2 linked regions of the Arabidopsis thaliana genome follow. The protein of the gene in region 1 interacts with the protein of each later gene in a pairwise test. Each region holds a gene or a part of one and is shown on either strand. Other genes may lie near its edges.

The links.
Region 2: the proteins of WRKY28 (region 1) and DIC3 interact in a two-hybrid assay, tested with the Arabidopsis thaliana proteins (one large-scale study listed by BioGRID).

Annotation. Positions count from the first base shown.
Region 1 is NC_003075.7:10,059,114-10,063,576, forward strand, and holds WRKY28 (WRKY DNA-binding protein 28), read left to right. Parts: upstream 1-2,100; 5' UTR 2,101-2,394; coding exon 2,395-2,825; intron 2,826-2,938; coding exon 2,939-3,082; intron 3,083-3,196; coding exon 3,197-3,578; 3' UTR 3,579-3,780; downstream 3,781-4,463. UniProt on the Arabidopsis thaliana protein: Transcription factor. Interacts specifically with the W box (5'-(T)TGAC[CT]-3'), a frequently occurring elicitor-responsive cis-acting element.
Region 2 is NC_003076.8:2,948,627-2,952,538, reverse strand, and holds DIC3 (dicarboxylate carrier 3), read left to right. Parts: upstream 1-1,843; 5' UTR 1,844-2,025; coding exon 2,026-2,452; intron 2,453-2,711; coding exon 2,712-3,298; 3' UTR 3,299-3,407; downstream 3,408-3,912. Other genes in the region: AT5G09490 (Ribosomal protein S19 family protein), read left to right, coding at 1-161; AT5G09480 (hydroxyproline-rich glycoprotein family protein), read left to right, coding at 924-1,358. UniProt on the Arabidopsis thaliana protein: PUMPS are mitochondrial transporter proteins that create proton leaks across the inner mitochondrial membrane, thus uncoupling oxidative phosphorylation.

The sequences.
Region 1 (4,463 bases):
TTCTCGAAAACGTTTTTCATCGTAGTTTGTTTTGACCAAAAAGCGTTAAAAACATGGAAATTATTATGCCCTTCTTTCATTGATCAAATTTTTATATACCAAAGCCATAGTATTTTGATTCATTCCAATATTTTATACTGAGTATCACTGAGACACTGACTATATATATGTATGTATTCTCGCGCTATCCGTAATATGCTAGGTAATATAGCAGTGATTATTAAACGCATTAAGATCATCATACGTAATTCACGATAATTTGTAATCCAAAAACTTAGGTGTGACCAAAAAAAAAAAAAGAGTTGAATCCTTCACCTACCAAAAAAATGGATTGTGACCAAAAGACCATGACATATCAAATTTTTAGTGATTAAACCGATTTCTTCCAAGATGCTAGTATTTGTTTTTATCTTGCCATATTTTAGTGATTTTTCATAGTAGTAAATATATCACTTTGACCACATTTAAAGTTGATGTATGTCCCCTTCGCATTTGTCATGTCGGTTAGGCATTATATGTCTCCTTTTTTCCTGATCATATGCTCCTATCAATTTCTACAAACTCATGAAAACGATTACTAGCTATATAAATCAAGCATAGGGTTCATAACATGCAACTTTAATTCCCCACAATTATCGCAAATAAAATTGTATATAAAGGGTTTATCGTAATTATCATAATGTTAACATTTTCATAATATAGATACTTTTGGTTTGACCATCTTTTCCTTAATATAAGTTAATAAATTAAGATGCTCTTTTACTTGCAAACAGAAAGTTCTAATGTGAAAAAGAAATTGTTATTGCGTAATCATGATCTCACTTATCCGTCAGCATAAGTAACGATCCACTCCACATAGCTACGTCACTTAAAGTCCCATAGTAACTAATTTTCTTTGAATGTTATAGCAAATTATTAGCAATGTATGATTCTTTGGGTCAAATCTTACACTAAAAACATGAAAATAATTTGAATATCAAGAGATTCATATATTCATATTTTATAACCAAAATATGTAGGGTCTAAATTATTGCTTCTTGACTAGGAATTACCTATGAATAATTATTAAGGTTCGTGAAACAGTGAGGGAAAAAGAAGAAGAAGAAGAGAAGACAGTCTCTAGCACGTGCCAGGTCATGTGTCGGCGACGGTCAAATGCCGGTGCAAGTGTTTCCACGTGGCAGCCTAATACTCCCAAAATATAATCTTTTGTTTTCGTAAACTTTTTTCCCTTTGAATCTTTGACTGCCTCTTACTGCATTCTTCACACCAAACGACCGGCCGGTGACTGAGTGTTTCCGGTTTCCGGTAACACATAGTCTTCGCTGACTAAGACTCCTTCAATAACGTCGTCTTCTTCCACGCGCCGTTTAGTCGTAGCGCGTGTTATCAAGCCCGTCCACTATATATGCCACGTATAGAGTGGGGAAGAAAATGAAGGTGAGAACTTTTCATGTCCTACTTTTTGGCCCCATAAAAAAGGCAGCACACAAAAATAACCCAAAATTTATGCATGTTTATCAAATGTGGAAAAATAAAAGTAGAATTTTAGGAAATTTATACGAAGATACAATGCAAAGACTCGAAGAAATGTATTTAGTGGTATAGAAATACTTGCAAGTAAGCATATTCTGAATTAAAAATATAGAAGCTTAAGTATGTTTCCTCACTAGAAGCCAGTTTTGCAGCTCTATTTTTGTCAACTTAGCTTTACGTAAAGTTCTTATTGCCCGAAACCAAAAAGTCATTCAAAAGGCATAACATGATATCACAAATAAAATTATCATCTACTTCTATATCTTATTTCTTGAATATATATATATATATATATACCTATCTATTAAGTTGCTTATCGTTCACATTATTAATTTATAATTAACTTTATGTACATTTGACTGATAAACATTAAAAAGACTTATTTGAACCTTTTTGTATATGAATTCAAAATTATACTGATAAAATAACGTGAGGAAGAAATATTATGAAAGCTTTTAACATATAAATTAATTTGCATAGGAAAAAATTACACAACTTAAATTGAGATTAGTTAAGAAACAAGAAAAAACAAAGTTGATAGAAAAATAAAAGTATTAACACGACTTTGGATTCACACACGTACCATTGAATTATATCTCAATACACTTTTACTTAATTAACTTATTTCCAAACCAAGTAGCCAAAATCATATTATTCTTCTCTCTCTTCCTTTTTTGAGTTTCAAAATGCATAAATACGAGAACGAGAGACGAAGACCAAATTAAAGTCCAAGCACCAATCTAGACCTCTTAGGAAAAAAACCTAAAAACCTAATCCCCAAACCTAAAAGGCTTATCTCATCTCTTCTTCTTTGTCTTCTTTACTCTTTTTTTACCTCTCTCTTCATTGTTCTTCACCATGTCTAATGAAACCAGAGATCTCTACAACTACCAATACCCTTCATCGTTTTCGTTGCACGAAATGATGAATCTGCCTACTTCAAATCCATCTTCTTATGGAAACCTCCCATCACAAAACGGTTTTAATCCATCTACTTATTCCTTCACCGATTGTCTCCAAAGTTCTCCAGCAGCGTATGAATCTCTACTTCAGAAAACTTTTGGTCTTTCTCCCTCTTCCTCAGAGGTTTTCAATTCTTCGATCGATCAAGAACCGAACCGTGATGTTACTAATGACGTAATCAATGGTGGTGCATGCAACGAGACTGAAACTAGGGTTTCTCCTTCTAATTCTTCCTCTAGTGAGGCTGATCACCCCGGTGAAGATTCCGGTAAGAGCCGGAGGAAACGAGAGTTAGTCGGTGAAGAAGATCAAATTTCCAAAAAAGTGTAAGTCATAACTCTATAGGAACTTTTATGCAAAACATTGAACATCATTTGATCTCTTCGTTTAGGAATTTAGTCTAGCATGTGTATTAATTTTATAGTGTATTATTTTTCAGTGGGAAAACGAAAAAGACTGAGGTGAAGAAACAAAGAGAGCCACGAGTCTCGTTTATGACTAAAAGTGAAGTTGATCATCTTGAAGATGGTTATAGATGGAGAAAATACGGCCAAAAGGCTGTAAAAAATAGCCCTTATCCAAGGTAACTAAACTTTCCCTTTTTATTTTTTGAAATTGCTAGGCTTGTGAAAATTTGTGTTTAGAAAAATGCGACCATTATAGTGTAACTGATAATAGCCAATGGAAACGAAAATAGGAGTTACTATAGATGTACAACACAAAAGTGCAACGTGAAGAAACGAGTGGAGAGATCGTTCCAAGATCCAACGGTTGTGATTACAACTTACGAGGGTCAACACAACCACCCGATTCCGACTAATCTTCGAGGAAGTTCTGCCGCGGCTGCTATGTTCTCCGCAGACCTCATGACTCCAAGAAGCTTTGCACATGATATGTTTAGGACGGCAGCTTATACTAACGGCGGTTCTGTGGCGGCGGCTTTGGATTATGGATATGGACAAAGTGGTTATGGTAGTGTGAATTCAAACCCTAGTTCTCACCAAGTGTATCATCAAGGGGGTGAGTATGAGCTCTTGAGGGAGATTTTTCCTTCAATTTTCTTTAAGCAAGAGCCTTGATCGATCATTGTTATAACTACATATATTATATATATTGAGAGAGAGAGGTAGAGAAAAAAAAAACTTATATGTAACTTAAGATCTTATTTTGTCTCTCTTATTTGCATGTACATATTTTTTCATGAAAGAATGAGACAGTTGGGCTTGCTTATATATTTGATGATGTTTAATGTGTTACCGTTGGATACATATTTTCGCTTCCATTTTGTGAAATTATATTTTCTTCTTTTGGTTAGTTTTTTACATTATGATATTATGCTGTGTAATTTGTACTATCATATGTAGAAGCGAAAAAGACATAACTCTAGCTAGGAGCCTACGATTGATCTCCCAAATGTTGATTATAATATATACATATGCTTTTGGGAAACTTAAGTATTAAATTGACAAGTTCAAATGGTCAACTTCTTACTGATTTATATCTTAATAATCAAAAATTACAAAAAAAAGTTACAAGCTCATATGTGATGAAGAAATTAGAATCGGAAATTTAATGTAAGGGTGTTGATATAAAAGGTTCAAGTTGTAGACGACGAATATCTATGTGTGTGAACAAGTAAAGAAAAAACAAAACAAGTTGAGATCTAACCTTGTGTCCTAAGAGAATGGACCCGAATAAAAGATTTGACTGCTTCTGCTTTCTATCTTATCCACACACACATGGAAACATAGACTGTGGACCAATAATATTACCCCTACCATCAAAACTGAAAACAATGTTTTAATTCAAAAAACGAAAAATAAAAAGAAAATACTAAACAATAATAAAATTATATATCAAATCTCAGATTTATAAAGAGTGAATGAATTACAAAAAAAATTTGAAGGAACGAGAAGGATGCGAAGAAGAACCTTAGAAAAAGATCTCTTTATATATTAACTTGT
Region 2 (3,912 bases), on another chromosome or scaffold:
TCATTGGTGTGTACAATGGAAAGACTTTTAACCAAATCGAGATCAAACCGGAGATGATTGGACATTACCTTGCGGAATTCTCAATCACTTACAAACCCGTTAGGCACGGCAAGCCCGGTCATGGTGCTACACACTCCTCTAGGTTTATCCCTCTCAAGTGAAGCCATTTCAAGACTTCATTCTGCTTTTACAATTTCTTTTGTTTTGCTCATCTAAATCTATCTTCTTATCATCATGTCTCTGACACTCTAGTGTCTTTAAACTTTTCTTATTATCGTAAAAAAAATTCTTGGTGATTTTCTCTATAATACTTAATACCATTATGAGTTTGGACTTGAGTTAGTCTTTAATTTTTTTTTTTTTTTATCTCAGTCTTATTTTTTATTTTATTTTATAAGTCTTAAAATTATTTGATTTTGATCCTTATATATTTTAATAATCTACATAATGCGTAAAAATACACTTTTCACTTGAAACGGTTACAAGATAAAATAATAAAATCATATGTAAATGTATTAATAATGAATGTTCACAGGTAAAGAAGGGGTGATGCATATGAGACGTAAAATACAATATAGGTATTGCTAACTTTAAGATTTCTTGTAATGTTTAGTATCAATAGCTTTAAAACAAGTATATATATTAGGTTCGAAAGTAAACTTAAAAGGGGTTATACAACTAAGACGTATAATGAAATATAGGTGAGTTTGTTGAAGACTAACATCACATTCTCACAATCGTGCAGTGAGATCTTCTCACCAAATTTTTTTGACTCTTATGAATCTACATTCTAAGATCTCTCTCATCTCAATATTATTTAAGAAACCATTCTGTAAACAATATATAGCAAAACACAAACTCTCTATACTCACAACATTGTTTAACTCATCTTTCTAAGTTGGTTTCGATTCAAGAATATCACAATGACTAATGTTCGCCTTCCTATTCTCGTCTCCTCGGTCTTGTTCCTTGTCTTTATTTCATCGTCCCTCTTGTTCCCTACACCTAGTTTTGCTGCTAGAGTAAGTCATTCTCTGGTGCAAGAAGAGGTCAAAAAGGTTCCAGAATACACAGAACCTGAGGAGCCGGAAGTTCCAGAAGAGCCGGAGCTGCCCTCACCGGAGGAGCCTGAGATTCCAGAAGAGCCTGAGATTCCAGAAGAGCCTGAGGTTCCTGGAGAACCCGAAGTTCCTGAAGAGCCCGAAGAACCAGAAGAGCCAGAAGGGTCAACATTTGAATTTCCATCATGGTTTCCGAGCTTTCCTATTCCCGGTGTTAATGGCGGTTTGCCAAAGACTGAAAAGACAAAACCTACATCAACAGTTGAAGAGGTTAACGTTTCTAACAAGAAGCCATAGATCAATGGGTAAAGAACGTCAAATGATTATATAAACTATATATGCAATTATAGTTTTGGTTTGTGTTTGGTTAAAGATGAGAGATTACATATGTATTACAGTATTAGAGTCCTCACCATGTCATGATTGAGTCTCTAAACGCTCCTGATATAATCTCGTACTAATTCTCTCTTGTAATATGTATATCTCTTGTGGTACAAAAAATATATATATAACTCTTAAGTAAATCATGTAATGTAAGATATTTAATTAAAGATATAATGTGTCAATTGTCGGTGTATATGACGTTCGTCTTAATGAAACATCAAATTTTATGAGTAGATGTTAGATATAGAACATTGGTTTCATTGACCAATATTGGTTTATTCCTCTAGCTTCAATTATTCTTTTTCTGTAATGCCAAGGTGTGCATCAAGACAAAACAAGAAACATTGTGCTAAAAGCTGGAACCCGTAATTCAGGACTAGTACACAAACACAACTACTCGTTGCATTATTTTCTTCTCAAGTAGTTTGTCTTCTTCCATTCCAACTTGTTCAATTTCATTTCTTCTTCTCCAAACATTTTATTACAAAAGATCTATTATCTCCCAAACTCTTCTTTTCTTTCAATTCCCATTCCTCAAAACATTCTCTCCTTACAATAAAATCCTCCGGTAATCGTTTCAATGGGCTTCAAACCATTTCTTGAAGGTGGCATCGCCGCAATCATCGCCGGAGCTCTGACTCACCCATTAGACCTCATCAAAGTCCGTATGCAGCTTCAAGGCGAACATTCTTTCTCGCTCGACCAAAACCCTAACCCTAATCTTAGCCTTGATCATAATCTTCCCGTGAAACCTTACCGACCCGTTTTCGCTCTTGACTCTCTCATCGGCAGCATTTCCTTATTACCCTTACACATTCACGCGCCGTCTTCTTCCACGCGCTCCGTCATGACCCCTTTCGCCGTAGGGGCACACATTGTCAAAACCGAAGGACCCGCCGCTCTCTTCTCCGGCGTCTCCGCCACCATCCTCCGTCAGATGCTTTACTCTGCCACCCGTATGGGTATATACGACTTTCTTAAACGAAGGTGGACTGATCAACTCACCGGTAATAATACTAAACTCGATCGGCAACAATATTACTCAAAAAATAATTTTGGTTTTTATTCGGTTTGGTTTGGTTTGATTACACTAAAAGTCGTTTACAGTTCTCGGTTATTGGTTTTAAATAAGAAAACCAATGGATTTATAAACAAATGCTGGTTCGGTTTCGATCTTAAACAGTTTCGGTTTGTTTGGTTCGAATTTTTTCCATATTATTACACAAAAGATCAAATAAATTAAACGTAAACGATAATTCCAAACAGGTAACTTCCCATTGGTAACCAAGATCACAGCTGGACTCATCGCAGGAGCCGTTGGATCAGTCGTCGGGAATCCTGCTGACGTGGCGATGGTGAGAATGCAAGCCGACGGAAGCTTGCCGTTAAACCGTCGCAGAAACTACAAGAGCGTCGTGGACGCGATCGACAGGATCGCAAGGCAAGAAGGCGTTTCAAGTTTATGGCGTGGCTCATGGCTAACCGTGAACCGTGCCATGATCGTGACAGCTTCTCAGCTCGCTACGTATGATCACGTCAAAGAAATCTTGGTAGCTGGTGGCCGTGGAACGCCGGGAGGGATAGGAACGCATGTAGCGGCGAGTTTTGCGGCGGGGATCGTCGCGGCGGTGGCGTCGAATCCCATCGACGTTGTGAAGACGAGGATGATGAATGCGGATAAGGAGATTTACGGTGGACCGTTGGATTGTGCGGTGAAGATGGTGGCAGAGGAAGGACCAATGGCTTTGTACAAAGGGCTTGTTCCGACGGCGACGAGGCAAGGACCGTTCACGATGATCTTGTTCCTTACCTTGGAACAAGTTCGTGGTCTGTTAAAAGACGTTAAATTTTGATTAATTTTTTTCAAGTAGTTAGGTTAATAAATGTTTGAGATTCCCATATTTCTTCATACATTTCATATACGTTTAAAATATTTTGAAAATAATTATATAGCGATTAAGGTAATATTTACTAGAGATTTTTGTATAAAAATAAATTATTTATTTGCACAAATATTTTTTTTAGTAAATGCGAAAACTGATAGTGATTGAAGCAAAGGGACTTTTTCGGACGGTCCAAGTCTCTTGGACTTGGGGGATATACTTTTGCTGGGGACCTTCATTTGGTATATTCCTTTTTTTCTTTGGGTACTATGTTCTATTTTCTTGGTTGACAGAAAATATGAAATATCGCTTCTAAATTACAATTTCTTTTGTTTGTTTGTAAAAATCTAAATTAGAAATTATGCAAAAAATTATAAGAAAATAAGATTAACAATAATGTTTTTCTTTTATTGACTTTGATCATATTATCTCTATAAAAGAGAAATAAAATCTTTCTAAAGTTTTTTTACTTGAGTTTGAAGCTGGTGGCAATTTGGTGTTTGTTTTATGAGATTGTATAAGAGTTATCCAAAGCTGAGACATGGCCCAAAATAAGTCCAAGGCCATGTTTAGGCTCCATTTTG